Canis lupus familiaris: one gene and its partners. The protein of the gene in region 3 interacts with the protein of the main gene of each other region in a biochemical or structural test. Links are inferred from orthologs where the notes say so. Each region holds a gene or a part of one and is shown on either strand. Other genes may lie near its edges.

Evidence for each region.
Region 1: of the proteins of WWP1 (region 3) and WBP2, one has a biochemical effect on the other in vitro, tested with the Homo sapiens proteins (2 studies listed by BioGRID, with this or other methods). The link is inferred for Canis lupus familiaris from reciprocal best matches to the Homo sapiens genes WWP1 and WBP2.
Region 2: the proteins of WWP1 (region 3) and DVL2 form a complex in vitro, tested with the Homo sapiens proteins (2 studies listed by BioGRID, with this or other methods). The link is inferred for Canis lupus familiaris from reciprocal best matches to the Homo sapiens genes WWP1 and DVL2.
Region 4: of the proteins of WWP1 (region 3) and KLF5, one has a biochemical effect on the other in vitro, tested with the Homo sapiens proteins (4 studies listed by BioGRID, with this or other methods). The link is inferred for Canis lupus familiaris from reciprocal best matches to the Homo sapiens genes WWP1 and KLF5.

What each region holds. Positions count from the first base shown.
Region 1 is NC_049230.1:5,622,697-5,627,049, forward strand, and holds the start of WBP2 (WW domain-binding protein 2), read left to right. Parts: upstream 1-1,548; 5' UTR 1,549-1,555; coding exon 1,556-1,614; intron 1,615-1,655; exon of another isoform or gene 1,656-1,696; intron 1,697-1,840; exon of another isoform or gene 1,841-1,972; intron 1,973-4,353. UniProt on the Homo sapiens protein: Acts as a transcriptional coactivator of estrogen and progesterone receptors (ESR1 and PGR) upon hormone activation. In presence of estrogen, binds to ESR1-responsive promoters. Synergizes with YAP1 to enhance PGR activity.
Region 2 is NC_049226.1:32,405,937-32,410,081, reverse strand, and holds the start of DVL2 (segment polarity protein dishevelled homolog DVL-2), read left to right. Parts: upstream 1-1,290; 5' UTR 1,291-1,333; coding exon 1,334-1,527; intron 1,528-1,615; exon of another isoform or gene 1,616-2,552; intron 2,553-3,228; exon of another isoform or gene 3,229-3,829; intron 3,830-4,013; coding exon 4,014-4,083; intron 4,084-4,145.
Region 3 is NC_049250.1:33,146,169-33,150,363, forward strand, and holds the start of WWP1 (NEDD4-like E3 ubiquitin-protein ligase WWP1), read left to right. Parts: upstream 1-1,363; 5' UTR 1,364-1,492; intron 1,493-4,195. UniProt on the Homo sapiens protein: E3 ubiquitin-protein ligase which accepts ubiquitin from an E2 ubiquitin-conjugating enzyme in the form of a thioester and then directly transfers the ubiquitin to targeted substrates.
Region 4 is NC_049243.1:27,275,548-27,279,107, reverse strand, and holds part of KLF5 (Krueppel-like factor 5), read right to left. Parts: coding exon 2,838-3,560; intron 1,841-2,837; coding exon 1,781-1,840; intron 1-1,780. UniProt on the Homo sapiens protein: Transcription factor that binds to GC box promoter elements. Activates the transcription of these genes.

The DNA of each region.
Region 1 (4,353 bases), on a different chromosome or scaffold from region 3:
CTCTGTGACTATCATAAATAAATACAAATTTAAAAAATAAATAAATAAAAAATTTTAAAAAAAGCTGCATAGACTTCGCGAGCCAAAATTAATTTAACTACTGGAGCAGATCACGTCCATCGTGCAGTAATTTATTGCACTCGTCCTGCAAGGCCCCACCTGCTTGTGCTTAAGACTTCCCAGAAGGCTGTTACATGTTTCATCTTTTCTGGGTGTTGATCCCTCACCTAGGAAACTCTAAAAGATAAGTCAGGCAGGTGGGTCCCCAGGTTGGCCATCACATGTCAGGGAATCAGCTGTACTGCTTAAACTCAAACTTCCGATCCTTTAAGATTAATGATGCACCAGCACCACCACGTGGGGAGTGACACCCTTCTTTCCTCCCCTGGAAGATCCACCTCAGGGTCTCCTGGGTGGTTCAGTGGCTGAGCATGTGCCTTTGGCTCAGGTCTTGATCCCGGGGTCCTGGGATCGAGTCCTGTATCAGGCTCCCCGCAGGGAACCTGCCTGTCTCTCTCTGTCTCTCATGAATAAATAAAAAAATAAAAATAATAAAAAAAGAACTACCTCGGACGTGGAGATACATAATTACTACAGCTGCCCAAGGGCGCCGCCCAGTGCTGGGGCCCAAGCTGAAATGACTCAGCTGTATTTCATAAACCACATAATGGGGCTGCCGGACTTGCCTTGTCCGGGCTCCTAGGTCCTTTCAATGACTGTGAGTCTTGTTGAAATCTTACAGCTGGAAAGCTCCCGGGCGGGCCTGACCGAAGCCAGATCGTTCTAGAGGGAGCAGGGCCACCGCGAGGCCTGCGGGGCTGAAGGTAGAGGCGCTCCCCACCGGACCCTGGTATTTGGTGCAGGGGTCAGGTCGGGCCACCGGACAGTCTCACCCCCAACCTCCGAGGGTCCGGGTCTGACTTCACGACAGGGATGCTCTGGCAGCCCGCCCCGTCCTGGACCCGGGTCTTGCGCTCATCTACACGGCTACAGTGACCACCCGGATCAGGGGCAAAGTCATGTAGACTCAGTGTTTCACAAATAAAGATGCCCTAGCAAGTGACTGCTCAGCATTCCCCACACCCGGTTTAGATTCCCACCGCCGCCCCCTCATTCTGTGAGTATTCACTTTTGTGCTCAAGGCCTTTCCGAGTAATACCCCTGTGACGTGTCCAACTGTTTATTCCGGTCCCTTGGAAGATACGAAGGGCTGTGCGTAATGCGCAGGCCGATTAGTTATGCAACTGGGGCAGTCAATCCGGCCTGGAAGACTACAAGTTCCAGAGTGCATCCTTCCGCTAACGTAGAGAAAAGCCGATTGAGGGAGCATGGCCTTCTGGGAATTGTAGTCTTCAGCTTGTTTGTGATGCAGGCGAAACGGGAGGGGGAGTGAGTAAACTATTACCACGTGACGCTCGAGATCAGGTGGTTGGACCAGGCTCCGCACAAGAGCTGTGATTGGCTGGCTCTAATACGAACGACGCCACTAGGGGCGGGCCGTGGAGGGGCGCAGGCGCACTGCGTTGAGAGTCTCGGGACCCTTTTCCGAGAGACTATGGCGCTCAACAAGAACCACTCGGAGGGCGGCGGAGTGATCGTCAACAACACCGAGAGGTGAAAACACGGCGGAAGGATCCTGGAAAAACGATGGGGGGGGGGGCGTGGGCGGTGGGCGGCCGGGGATGAACCGGTGAAGGTAAACCGACGGGGTGCGGGGGGGGGGTTAACGGCTGGAGGCGGGGCCGGAGGCCGAGGGTGGGTCGGCGGAGCGGCTGGGACGTCGCGGTTAGCTGTGGGCTGGCGCGGGGGGGCGGCGGCTGGGCAGACAGGTGGGCCCCGGGGTCGCTCTTGAGCCCCTTTCCCAGAGTCGATGACTTCACGGGGTGGGAAGAGCCTTAGACAAAAATAATTGCTACTTACTGAGTGTTTACTACGTTCCTACGCGCCAGGCTGTGCTCTTCTGCCTTAACGTGTAAGTGCGGCGCAGCGCTTAGATCATGCTGGTCTGCACGTTTTACATGCAGGGAAACTGAGGCACGGAGAGGTTAGGTGACTTGCCAGAGATCACAGGGCTGTATATGACACAGACGGGATTCCAGGAAAGGCGTCTTTAAAGTCAAAAGGCCGGCAGCCCCGCTGGCTCAGCGGTTTAGCGCCACCTTCAGCCCGGGGCGTGATCCTGGGGTCCGGGGATCGAGTCTCCCATCCAGCCTGCTTCTCCCTCTGCCTGTGTCTCTGCCTCTCTCTCTCTTTGTGTCTCTCATGAAAAATCTTAATTCTGTTTAAATAAAGTCAAAAGGCTTGACTACCAGTACATAGCCTTCTGGTATATTCCAGAACTGCCGAGTTTCCAGATGAGAGACTGAGGCCCAGAGGTGCAGTTAGATAGATAATGTTTGTCAAATGGCGAACACATTTCCTGGCACAATGTCTGTCCTTGCGTCTTTCTCTCCAGTGCCTGTTGACTTGGATCACTTCCCTGAGCAGAGGTCTCCCCGCCTCTCTCCATACCCCTCACCCCCTCCCTCACCTTCCCCCGCCCCCCGCCCGTCAGTTCTGTCCTCTTTGCTCTGGTCTCTGAACTTCTCTGTGGCTTCTCTCTTGCTCCTTGGGCACCGGGAATTAGACCATCCAGCCTCGGTTCAGCTAGGCTGACGCTGAAATTCTCTTTAAGGCGGGAGGTGCTTACGAGGAGTCTGAGTCCCTGGAAGAGACTTCAGTGGGATCAGAGCCTTGTAGGCTGCCAGGGCCAGCACCCAGGAATGCTTGATGAGTCAGGAGAAAGCCAGGGGTGCCCCGGGCTTCAGAGTGCTGACGTTCCCTCCATCGTCCCTGCTCAGGGTCTGCCAGCCCAGCCTGTTCCTGGTAATGAGCTGTTTTTCTCTGAGCTGTACCTCTTAACTATATTTGTTTTTAAGATTTATTTGTTTTAGGGACACCTGGGTGGCTCAGTCAGTTAAGCATCTGCATTGGGCTCAGGTCATGATCCAGGGTCCTGGGATCAAGGCCGGATCAGGTTCCCTGTTCAGCAGGGAGCCTGCTTCTCCTTCTCCCTCTCCCTCTGCCTGCTGCTCCACCTATTTATGGGCGCTCTCTCTGTCAAGGTTTATTTATTTTTTTTATTTTTATTTTTTAATTTTTATTTATTTATGATAGGCACACAGTGAGAGAGAGAGAGGCAGAGACACAGGCAGAGGGAGAAGCAGGCTCCATGCACCGGGAGCCTGACGTGGGATTCGATCCCGGGTCTCCAGGATCGCGCCCCGGGCCAAAGGCAGGCGCTAAACCGCTGCGCCACCCAGGGATCCCCGGTTTATTTATTTTAGAGAGAGTCCGTGCAAGCGCAGGGGGAGGATCAGACGGGGAGAGAAAGAGAGAAGCCACAAGCAGACTCAGGGCTGAGCTCAGAGTCCCATGAGAACCCTGAGATCATGACCTGAGCAGAGACTGAGGGTCCGCCACTTAACCAACTGAGCCACCTTGGTGCCCCTCTGAGCTGTACTTCTCTTCCCTGGTACCAGTCCTCTTTCCCACTTACCCTCCCCAGTGAAGAAAGTTGTGATATTTGGGAGGAGGAAGACAAATGGAACCATGTGAACTTGGACTCTGTTATCTTCTAATCAGAGAAACCTCACATTGTTCCCATTTTGTAGTCTCTCTTGAGTGCAAGCCAGTCCTAGGCCTGGAAAAACACTTCGATGCCATTTGGTAACATCTCCTGGGACTATTTTTCTTTCTTTCTCAGTGGGACTTTGTGGGACAAGAATGTATCTGTCCTGGTGGACCTCCTACCTGGCTTCGGGCTCTGTGCTGCTAAATAATGGTGTGCCTTGTTTTAGAAAATGTTTCCGCCTTGTTTCTGGAAAAAATTGTATGGCAGTTGAAGTTTAAATTAGCGTTTAAAATTTCATGTGTAAGATAGTCTTACTTTTCAAGTGATGAATCCCTTTGAGAGTGATGAAAGCCGCAGATTCTTCCAGAAAAACGCACGTACACCATCATTTCATGGACTCCCACCCATGTAGACCCAGTTCAGGAAGCCCCGGTTTAAAGAGGTGTGAAATGAGCCCTTTGGTAATGTGTAGAGTCCTGTCTTAGAGGGTTTATGGGTCAGTACTAATAAGCCAATGAAAACAGACACACATTATAGGGACTCAGAAGAAAATGGGAGAGTCAACCCAGGTAATCTAACCTGATTTGAGGGATTATGGTGTTAATGGCTTTAAAGCCCTCCGCCTCGGCTCTTCTGCTGTTGTCCCTTGAGAGGAGGGGGTATATGTGGGGCTTGGGGAAATTCTGAGGACCCCGCCTTGCTCATCTATTTCGAGGATGTATTAATAGTTTCCTTGCAGC
Region 2 (4,145 bases), on a different chromosome or scaffold from region 3:
AGCATGACTTGGGAGCTGAGCCTCCGGGTCTTCGGCCCGTCCCCCTGGAGCTTGGGTATTGTCCCACTGGGAGGCAGGAATTCCCACTGGAGGCTGGTTTGGAAAGGAGTGTCTCACGTTCCAACCTTATCTTTCCTTCCCGCCTTGTGGACTTGAATATGGACCTGCTGCAGTTGGGGGTGAGAGGCTGGTCCCTAGACACATAATTTCTGTTCCTTAGACCTGCCACCCTTCGCTTTCTGGGCCAGGGTTGGAATTGGGGTGGAATGGGACAGCTGGCTATAAAACTCTAGTGTAAATAGAGCACTCCCCTTCTTCATCTTTTCTTTTATCTCCCCATTTATTCTACACCGGTTGTATTTTTAATTTTGGACTTCCCCTTTTGGGCAGGGCAGCTCGGAGGTGGAGTACCAACCAGGGTCTGGCCAAGGGAGGAAGGAAAACAGGTGACGATATGTTCGCTCACCTCTTTTGTTTTTAATAATATTGGCCAGCTGTTTGTACAGACAGCCTGCGTGTTGTAAATAAAGCAGAGTGGGCTCTTTTGTGTTTATAGCCCTCCCTGACTGTCCTGCTTGGGTGGGGGCGCGGTGGAAAAGCAGAAGGCGCGGGGGGCTGAAGCCCACCTCCAGAGCAGAAAACCACCCGGCTCTGCGCGCCCCCACCCCCCAGCTCCCCAGACCCCCGCCCCCAGCCTGGCCCTCAGTCGGCTTGCTTCCACCGGGCACCCCAGCCCAGGACCCCCATCCTATCTCCCAACACGCACGCTCCAGGGAATCAGCGTTGTTTGGAGCTCTCCGCCCGAGTGGGGCCAAACGGGATGGGTACCGGTGGCCAGGCCCCCCGAAGGCCAGTGCCGGCCTCCGCCGGGGTGCTCGGAGGACGCGGGTGGGGACACATTTGGGGGCGGGGCCGTCGAGGGCTAGGAGACCGTTGCTGAAAGCAATGATCACGTGGCGCTGGCACTGGGCGGAGCCTGTAGGTCACGTGGTCGGTGGAGTCACGTGACGGAGGGCGGGCCGCCGCGGACCACGTGACATGGGGAGAGGTGGGCGGGGTGCTGCAGGGCGCCCGCGACGTCGGCGGCGGTGGCGCGCGGTGGCGGCGGCGACGGCGGCCGAGTCTGCGGCATCGGGTCGAGCCCTCCGGCCCGCCCCCTTCCCTTCCGTCGGCCGCCACCCCGCTGATCCCCGCCGCCTTCCCGCCGCGCCTTTCCGGCGCCCGGCTGATCGTGTCCGCGCTCGCGCGGCGGGGTGCGGGTGTGCGCAGGCGCGGTGGGGGCGCTTCGCCCGGTTGGGTGGGCGGCGGGACCTGGGAGCGCGCGGGCGAGACCATGGCGGGCAGCGGCGCGGGGGGCGGCGGCGTCGGGGAGACGAAGGTGATTTACCACCTGGATGAGGAGGAGACTCCCTACCTGGTGAAGATCCCGGTTCCGGCGGAGCGCATCACCCTCGGTGATTTCAAGAGCGTCCTGCAGCGGCCCGCGGGCGCTAAGTACTTTTTCAAGTCTATGGATCAGGATTTCGGGTGAGCGCGAGGCCTAGGCTGGAACCGGTGGGGGCTGCGCGGCGGTGGATCGGCCACTGCTGAGGGGCACAGGTCGGCCCTAGGCCACGCTGGGTTTTTCTGGGCTGGAGTGCTGGACAGGGCATTATGCGGGGGTTAGATTGGGCATCCCAGGTTGGGTAAGGTTACGCTTGGACAAATCGAGACGCACGGAGCTCCAGGACGACACACCGGGCCGTGCCGAACCAGATCAGGAAAGATTAGGCTGTCCTGGAATAGAATGGGGCACACTGGTTTATTTGGGAGTTATTCTGGGTAATCCGATGCCTTTCGAGCAGTCCTGCGGCCCACGGGCAGTATTGTGGAATCTCCCGATGATTGGGCCGTGTTGGGGTGCTTTAGGGCATTCTAGACCATCCTAGAGCAGATAAGATTGTTTGGGGACATCTGGCCTGTTCTGGTGCAGAAAAGGGTGTGTTGGGATGTTCTAGGCTGCTTTGGAGCAGATTACCAGGCTCTCTCGGAAGAATTTCCTGCTCTTCTGTCTCTTCTGGGTTGTGTTGGTTGATCTTAAGTTTCTGTTGGGGTCAAGTGTTTCATGGGGACGCTCTGTAGAGAGGCAGACAAGGTTTTTGAGGCTATGCCAGTGCAGACAGCTGTATTGGGATAATCTGGTCTATATTGGTATGGACGGCTGCGTGTGGAGACGTTGTAGGTCATTGCTAAAATAGCCCAATATGGCTATTCTGGAGTGTTTGGAGTCATTCTGGGCCAGACTTGGATTCTTAATAATAAATTTGCTTATGGTTTTTGAGGCTGAGTTCTCCAGGTAGCCAGCCTCAGCTCTTGAAGGCAGGCTGGATTGGCCTGAGACAGCCCATGTTCTGGGATAGCTGAATGGACTGGCTTCTACTGAGAAAGACCGTTGGCCGTGAGGAAGGTGGGACTGTGTTGGGAGTTACCTTTGATTTAGATCGAAATTCCTGTTTGTTAGCAATGATATGACCCAGGAGATAGACACAGTTGGCACAAGAAACTTCGTATAGGTAAGCGATGCACAGTAATTTTTTAGCGAGTTGTGATGATCGCTAGCGTCGAGCTCAGCTAATCTGTAAACGGGGTTATGGTGATAGAGAGTGGAATCATTTGCCGGGCTGGGCTCCGCCGGGACTGGGTTACATCTCTAAGAATCCAGCATTATATCGAGACAGAGCAGTGGTAGGGATTGGGCTGAGTGGCCCTATCGATAACAAGTGGGATTAAGTTGTCACGCATCCAGGCTCCTAGAACCATATTAGGGTAAAGGGTTAATCAGACAGGCTGTCCTAATTTGGAGGTGAGGATGTGAGTATGAGAGAGACCTTCTGTTCAATACTCAGTCTCTCAGAGCTCGTGTTTGTTCATGAGATACTTGTTCAACAAGTATACTCGTTAACAGTATTGAACAGATATTTATTAACATTCACTTTACCACCATCAGGGTCTTTGCTGTGTGGCCAGGATGCAGTGTTGAACAGAATAGGCTGTGGTGGGATCCCTGGGTGGCGCAGCGGTTTGGCGCCTGCCTTTGGCCCAGGGCGCGATCCTGGAGACCCGGGATCGAATCCCACATCAGGCTCCCGGTGCATGGAGCCTGCTTCTCCCTCTGCCTATGTCTCTGCCTCTCTCTCTCTCTCTCTCTGTGACTATCATAAATAAATAAAAATTAAAAAAAAAAAAAAAGAAAAAAGAAAAAAAAAGAATAGGCTGTGGTGATCCCACGTGGTGGTTGAGAAGAAGGGGCAAAGTCCTGTCCATCCCAAGGAACCCAGGGGAGGAATGACCCCAAGGCTGGGCTTTGAGGTCCGTCAGGCAGAACAGGTTGCTCAGTGTAGAATTTTGTGCCAGATGAGCCCCGGGGGAAGGGGAAGGTGGGCTTCACCTCTCCTTGGGAGTGCTCAGCCTAGCCAGTAGGTGTCATCCTTGGGTCTCATGGGTATATTTTCGTGGGGGAAAGGTAGCATGTTGGGCTAGGGCTTTGGACATGACTCAGAGAAAACCAAGAAAGCATGAGAATAGAGACTTTGGAGGGTTTGGGGACGGTGCCTTGAGGAGCGGGGTAGGGCTCAGGGAGGTTTGGGGTCATTCTGGGCTGTTAGAGACACCAAAGGTTAGAGATCTTTGGGGCAGTTGGGGTCACCTGAGGGAGTGGGACGGTCGTTGAGATTGGAGAATGAGGTTTGACTCAGACTCTAGGAAATCTTTGGACCAGCATAGGAAATCTTTGGACCAGCATTGAAAGCCGAGGATGAGCTGGGGAGAGGAGGAGGAGGAAGGAAAGGGGGTGAGTGAATTTGGAGACTCCCGGGGCATGAGAGTGAAGTGTCTCGGTGTTGGGGAAGAGGGCCTGGCCGGCTGCATGAAAGTCATCGTCCTTGAGCTGGACGAAGATGAGAAGCCTCGAGTCGGGGTGCGTGTGGGGGGCGCTAGGGCGATCTCACTGGTTCTTGTGTTGTCCCTCCTGGCAGGGTGGTGAAGGAGGAGATTTCAGATGACAACGCCCGCCTTCCCTGCTTCAACGGGAGGGTGGTGTCCTGGGTAAGCAGCCCTGTCCATCCCGCATTGCCAGGGTCCTGTCAGTCTGGGTCCTCACCACTCCA
Region 3 (4,195 bases):
TAGTGGATATGGTGTGCGTTGGGCCCTGGTATCAATTCGGAGTGTAGAAACTAATGGAAGGGAGAGGAAGAGAAGGTACATTCCTTCAATCAGAGTTATTATTTAATCTTACAATTCTTCACGGGGCGTTGATGCTCTTCTTGGTACATAGCTTTTTCAAGAGCTTAATTAGGATGGAAAAAGAGGGAGAACTAGAGAGAGGTTTTAAAGCCGAGGAGAAATTTAGGACAGAACATAATTAAAACATCATCATGCTGAGGGGGCACAGGAGGGAATGGACAGTAACGAGGTCCTCTTTGGAGAGAAGCAGACACCCAGCCTTGGAGTCAGAAGGAAAACCAATAGGCTCGGGTGTGGATGTAGGTAATTTATGGGGCGTGGGTGAGGCGGGTGGGCCAAAATTGTAGAAACCCATGCTTGATGGCCTTTCTCATTTCTGAAGTAGAAGACCAGTCATCTGGTGAGTAATGTGGTCACCAATGACTTCTATTTGCAGGGCGGTCTTCTAAAAGCAACGCACAGAACCAACAGAACTTCTAGAGACTTAGTTAACTCGTTTTTATAAATGGGGAGAATGTACTCTTTTTCATGGCGGCACCGTGCGAATTTGCTGCACCGACACCTGTGCCTGCTCAGTACCAGTTTTATCACCGTAGCGTTATGGGGGCGAACGTTTTGGTGACTAATGAGAGTAAAGTGGAAGTCTTCTGTGGCCACCTGTCAAATGCAGGATTTACTCTTGCAGTGGGGTTCTAGGTCAGATGCTCAGGTCAAGGAGTATTTATTAAAAACAGCCTACTTTTGCAGTAAAGCACTCGAGATGAGAAGGCCAGCGCCGGGGGCCCTGACCCGAGGTCGCTCACCCGCGCTGTCCCAGTCCCGGACGGACGGGGAAGCCAGGTCAGCAGCAGCCACCTCGCGCTCAGAGGCCTCTTCCCAAATCTCAGCGGTGGCCCCGCCCCCTCCACAGGTTTGGGCCCCGCCCCCCTCCTCCCATTGGCTGGCCCTCGGCTCTCCTCGAGCGCGCTCCGCAGCCCCGGAGGAGCGGAGTTTTCCGAAAGCATCCTCGCGGGGGCGCCCTCGCTGCGCATGCTCGCGGGAAGCCCGGGTTCCGGGTCCCGGCGTGGGGGGAGGGGGGCTCTGAGGCGGCCGCGGCGCAGGCGCGCGCTCGCGGCGCGGCGCCGGTGACGCGAGCACGCGGCGCGCTCCTGAGGCGGGAGGTGTGGGGTCTGCCGGGGGCGGCGCGCGGCCGGGGTGGGGGTGGGGGGAGGGTCGGGTGTCGCCGAGCGCGGCGCGGCGAGCGGGTTCCAAGTGGCTGCAGGCGGCCTGGGCTGCCGGGGCCGACGCCTGGGTGGCTGCCGCCGCCGCCGCCGCCGCCGCCGCCGCCGCCGCCGCGCCTGCTGCGAGATGGCGATCTTGGGCGCGGAAGGGTGAGGGCGCCCCGCCGCTGGAGTGGCCGCCCGACCGCCGGGAGCCGACGGCTTTGCGCCGGGTAAGGACGCCGCGGCGGGGGGCGGGGGGCGGGGGGCGCGGGGGGGCGGGCGCGGCGGCCCCCGGGCCGGAGCCTCTGAGGGGCGGCCGCCGACCGTCCGCGCCGCGCCGGCCGCCCCCCCCGGCCCGGGGGCCCCGGAGTTTTCTGGGGTGGGGTCACGGGGCTTGCCCCGCGTTGGCCCCGGCGCAGGCCCGAGCTGAGGATCCCGGAGGAGCCCAGGGTCTCCGTGACTCTGCAGCCGCCGTCCTGAGGCTCCCTCAGCCTCCCCTCAGCGTTCCGTCCGCCTCCTCGTCCTCCCCCCGCAGCGCCCCTCCGAAGCCATCCCCGCGCGTGGACTTGCACCGCTGCCCTGACTTTCACCGCAAGACTCCCGGCCGTACAAAAAGGCGTTTTTATTTTCCTGACGTGTTTTGATCCCTCCGGGTTCTTCCCTGACTCTGCAGTCCCCCCCCCCCCCCACACACACACCCCAACACAACCCCCACCTCCACCTTTGTGTGACCTGGTAGGTCCCAGTGACCTTGCAGTTTTTACTCCTTATCTCCTCAGTGACCTGGACCTTCTCCTTTCATCTTTAAAAAAAAAAAAAAAAAAGGTTTTAATTTTGTAGTTTGTCCATTGTTTTTTTTTGTTTTGTTTTTTTGTTTTTTTGTTTTTTTTACAACCTCCGAAGGATCCTCAGTCCTTCCTTGACTCCATCGTCTGGAGTTAGTTGAGCGTCCTTTGCTTCCGTAATTACAGGGAAACCTTTCCTACCCAAGACGAGTGTCTTTTATTTTGACATTCTTACTCTTCCAGGATAAAATATTTTCCAGGGGCTTGGTGTGACTTTTTCTGCTTGGTGAGTTTTTATCTTTTTTGTGTGTGTGTAGGCTACTGTGCAAAAAAAAAAAAAAAAAGATTTTGAGTTTCGGCTTTAAAAAGCTACTGGTCAGAGTGGAAAATAATGTCCAAAGTTCTCTTTTTCTCCCCCTTTGGTGTTTTTTTTTTTTTTTTTTTAACCTGAAGTACCTGCTGTACAATGTATGCGGGTTTCTGCAAGCACTCATCCTTCTGTAGGAATCCAGTTGACCTGTCTCCTAAGGCTCTGTGGATGATACAAGCAAAATGCACCTTTAAAAAATAAAAATAAAGGCATTCTCTTACGTGACTTTGCTTTGGCTGTAAGGTAGATACTAGTTGGGACTGCAAATTATCACTTCTCGTAAACAGTTAATATTTTTTGAACTGAAAAATTCCTGGCCGAGTGTTGGGAGCTACTCACACTGAGAAGTGTAAAAAGTATGTAGAATAGTTACTTGGTATGTAGCTTATTGATGTTTTCACGTAGCTTTTCCCTTAAAATACAGAACTGTTTATAAGACATCTAACGCCAAGACTTAAAGGGCAGTGGGGTTATGTTTTTTAGAATCCTGGTATGATAGAGGATGTCACAAATAAGTTCTCTGCCTTCAGAGAGATAGTGATCTTTGCTTTTTGCCCCAGGAAGGCTGAAATTTCCTTCACTTCCTTGCACAATTATTAAGCATCTCCTGCATGATTGTGTGAGGTAGATGGAGTAATATGGAGTACAGCAGTTTCTGCCTTCCCAGAATAGTTAGGCAGGTAGGACTATCACAAATGCCTCCTTTATCTTTTAATACATCCTTACGTTTCATATAGAATTCAAATTCAGAAGAGGAAGAGCTCACATCTTACTTGGCAAGGTGAGGTAAGGAGGGTTAATCCATAGAGCTTCTGGCTTTTGAAATCTTTGTTTTGAAGGGTGACTGAGACTTTTGATAAACCAAGAAAAGTAATCCAAGCAGAGAAAAGGGACTAAGAAATTAGAGCACAGAGTTCATATGTTTGGGGAGAGGGAAACAATTATATTTGGGTGGAACATAAAGTATTTGTACTAACATAAAGGCTGATAAAACGAAGTAAAAGTTTGAACCGGTTTATGATTGCTTTTAAGGCTGGGCTAATGATCTTGGATATAATAGGTTTGAGGGGTTTTACAGATGATTTTTTGAGTTGCGAATGAAAAGCTTAAAATACTGTTTTCAGAGGATTAATTTAGCAGCAACGTGTACTGTGAATTGAAGTAGAAATCTGGAGGTAGAAAGACCTTGATTGCTGTGGTCATAGGTAATGAGGGTCTGAACTAAGGCTGGAATATTAGGAATGGAAAGGACAGAATTTGATGGTCAGAGAAAAAAATGAAGAAAGTAAAAATAACAGATTCTGACCCAGGTTGGGAAAATAATGGTACCATTTTGAACAGTATCCATGGAAGCTTTATCTTCGGCAGATGTATGTTACTTTACAGCAGTAATTATTAGCCTTTTGGTGATTGCTAATCCTTGGTGAAACTAAAAAAAATCTGGCATGGAAAATTTCCATATGCACCTGTGCTTTCTGTATATAATTTTAGGGAAGTCCATGAACTCACCTGAAGCTCACCTATGGAAGGGTCAGTAGGTTGGGCTAGGAGCAGCTCTCAGGATTACTGGAGGCTTTTTAAAACCATAGAATTTTCAAATTCTTCCATTTACTGATAACCCCTACTGTAGAGACTTACTTTATATACACTTAAATACAATATCTCTACTTTGTGTTGTGGTTTACAGTTTACCAAGAATTGGTACTGTTATTTGCTATTATATAACAGACTAGCCTAAGAGGTTAAATGATTTGCCCTGAGTGTTTCAGTTAGCAGGT
Region 4 (3,560 bases), on a different chromosome or scaffold from region 3:
GATATGCTCTGACTACATCCCTGCAATAAGCAGTTGATTACAGTGTGATATGCAATTGCACTCTTTTTATTAGGAGACTTTAACCTCATAAAAAAACATGTTCCCTCCTTCCTTTCCTATCTCCCATTTCAAGGACTTTCAAAGAAGAAAAAAACTAGTTAAAATGCTTCAATTTTATTTCCATTCCCATTAGTCAAAATTCAGGTAAAAGCCCAATTTCAATGTTTCTTTCTCTAATAGAATATTAATTCTATAACTGGCTATTTTAGTATTTCTATATGGAATATTTTCTTGGCCATCATGTGCATTTTGAAAACTTTAGACGGAGTTTACTATATATACTTAATGGTTGTTTAACTGTAAATATAATGCCTACTTTGAGCTGCTTATGTAGGATCTTGCGTTTCATATAATCACTTTGTCTATATCTAAAAACTTCAGGCCAAAACCATCCATTCATTTTAATACATGAGCTGTCTTTTCTTTAAAAGCAGTTTCTCAGAAAGTCCTGGAATCTACCACTGTCACCAGCACTATTTAGATTTTAATAAGTAGTGTTTATCACTGAGATATCAAGTAATACTTCCTTACATGCATACAAAATGTCTGCAGCCATATTCCTCCTAGTGTTCTATCTCAGCACTGACCTTTGTTCAAAGGCTTTTACTTTTTAATGCAGCAGTTAGAGATAACTACTTCATTTATCAAAACTCAATTTCCATAGTAACATCTAGCCTGGGGAGATTCAAGTCCTCACACTAATCCAACAACCCATTCAAAGGAACTGTTGAATACTTTGGTTTCCATAGCAATGATGGAATAAAACATTTTGCTAGGTCATTGCTTTTATTAGCAAACTTATTCTTTGAACTTTAGGTAAGGCTGAATTTACTGAGAGAGAAAAAAACACAATCATTTTGTGTAAGTTCTTTCCTTTAGGGCTGGTCTTTTAAGAAAATCCCAAATAGTAACCATCTATATATTTTGAAAATATTTTGGGTGTTTGGGAGCTTTTTAAGCATGCCATGTGGTTTTGTCCTAAAATGGTTTCAAATATATATTTTTAAAATTAAAAAGCATTTAAAAGTGAATGTACAGACCTGACAAAATAAACATTTGTAAAATTAAAGTGACTCTACCTAAAAGCACATTCTAAACAAAGATGAAATGTAAACTAGAATGAAGATAGTCTCAAATACGTCAAAATCTGGGCTGGCACAGGGTATAGAGTAACTTTTAAACCACAACCCCATCTTTGCCTGATTTAATACTCTGCAATTTCGTCCCTACCTTTCATCAGCCACATAAAACATGCTAAATAGAGATGTTAGGTTAAAGGTAAAATTAAAGATAATGTATTAAGCAGTCATGCTTTACATGCTAAATGGAAAAGTTTTAGCATTTAATATACCTTACAGCAGCCAAGGGATTTGTTATGGAAGGAAAAAAATGAGTTACATTTTTATATTCCTTCAAGATAGGAATTGCAGTGCCATTAAAGTTTTAAAATCCATTAGTAAACATTGTTGTTTACGTTTTTGGGTAATTCATTCTATGTGAGGTGACAGGGCAAGGCCTTGGTAAGGGAACATCAGCCTTCCTGGAACCAGACTTTTTCGTTGAACTGCATTTTGAGCCAAGCCAGTGCTGAAAAGGTAGGCCATTAAAAAATAAAGGTTGACAGAAGAAAGAAGAGATCAAACACGTGTTGGCTTTTAAAAGGATGAATACCACTTACACTATTTACACAACTCACAGAATTAACAAGAAAATTACATACCAGTATGAGTCCTCAGGTGAGCTTTTAAATGAGAAGACTTTGTATAAACTTTTGTGCAGCCTGAAATAATGGAGAGGAAGAACAGCTTGTCATTTTGGAGATCCTTTTGAAATCTTTACATTTGATGATTCAGTGTTTAAAATCTGGCTCTAAAGAAGAAATCTCTCATGCTAGTGAGATATTTATTTGAAGCGTCAGTTTTAAAGACTGCTCCCCTGTTACCTTATTAAAGGTATAAAGTGATTTACTTTATGTACCACTTTAGCAGAAAAAGCAGATAAACAAGCTACAAATGGAAAATGTATGTTTATATTCCAGTAGGTGCTTTATACTAGTAACATACTTCAGTGATTTAAAAACTTTTAATGGCTCTCGAGCTGACAGTGTTAAACCATTATCCAAGATGACTGCAATTTTCTGTGCTACTACATTTGTTTTTTCATTTAGTATATCACGCTGTATCAATTACATCCTGTATTAATCATAAACTAGCTTATGCCAGCAGCTTGTAGACTAAGTCATCACCATCATCAATTTAGATTTTGAGCCGCATCTCACTGAAGAATGAACATATGTTCATACGCCATCACAACTATCCTTAAATCTATTCTGTACACAGTCTTGTAACCCACCATCATGAAAGCAGCCTACTCAATCCCCATTTCATTACCACACCTTATTTTCCCTACCTTACCTTATCTCTTTTCAGGGCACTCAATTTAGAATTAAGACGCCAATTTAGGTGTTTAAGTAACTCTGACATAACTCAAAATTTGAATTTACATGCTACATTAAAAATAAAGAAGTCCAAGGTAACTTTTTTCCAGTATATTCTAGCCATTTTTTAAATACATACAACCATAATAGACAAACACAAAGTTATATCCCAGGGTACAGTACAGAGACTGAGATATGAAAAGGACAAAGTGGGTGATTTTTTTCATTGTCAAGTACCACTTTCCTATGCAAACTGAAAACCTGGTTTAAAAAGGTATGTGCACACACACACAGACACTAAATACAGGTACTGATGCTTTAACCGGGTTATATCACGTACCAGGGTAATCGCAGTAGTGGATGCGTCGTTTCTCCAAATCGGGGTTACTCCTTCTATTGTATCTGACAGGCTGGATGCTTTGTGAATTAACTGGCAGGGTGGCAGGTAAATTTGGATTGTGAATTGCCAGTTTGGAAGCAATTGTAGCAGCATAGGATGGAGGTGGGGTCAAATTCTGGAGCATCTCTGCTTGTCTATCTGGACTTCCCGGCTCTGAGCTTGGTGGTGACGGGGGAAAGTAAGTGGCCTGCTGTGGAAGAAACTGACTTGGCATTGTGTATGTGCAAGGGGGCATGCCCTGGAACTGTTTCATTGCAGTCTGCGGAACAGCAGAGGTGTGTGTGTTAAGGCCCGCCATGGCGGCGGACATAGAGACATTAAGAGTGTCCATCACTGCTGTCTGGTTTGTAGAACTGGGCATATCTAGATCCGGTGTGTTCAGCAGCTGGTACAGGTGGCCCTGCTGGGGAGGGACAGAAAGATGAAGATCTGGTGTAGGAAGTTCTTGTTTGATGAAAATATTGTTCACCTCTGGAGCTGCGGTCTGGTGTGAGCTGAATATACTGGTGAACTCGGGGAGGGCCTGGGTCGGGGCCGGAGGAGGGGCTGTCGTTTCACTCTGGTGGCTGAAAATGGTAACAGGTTCTGTCTTGATGTGTGTTACGCACGGTCTCTGGGATTTGTAGAGGCCAGTTCTCAGGTGAGTGATGTCAGGGAGGAAGA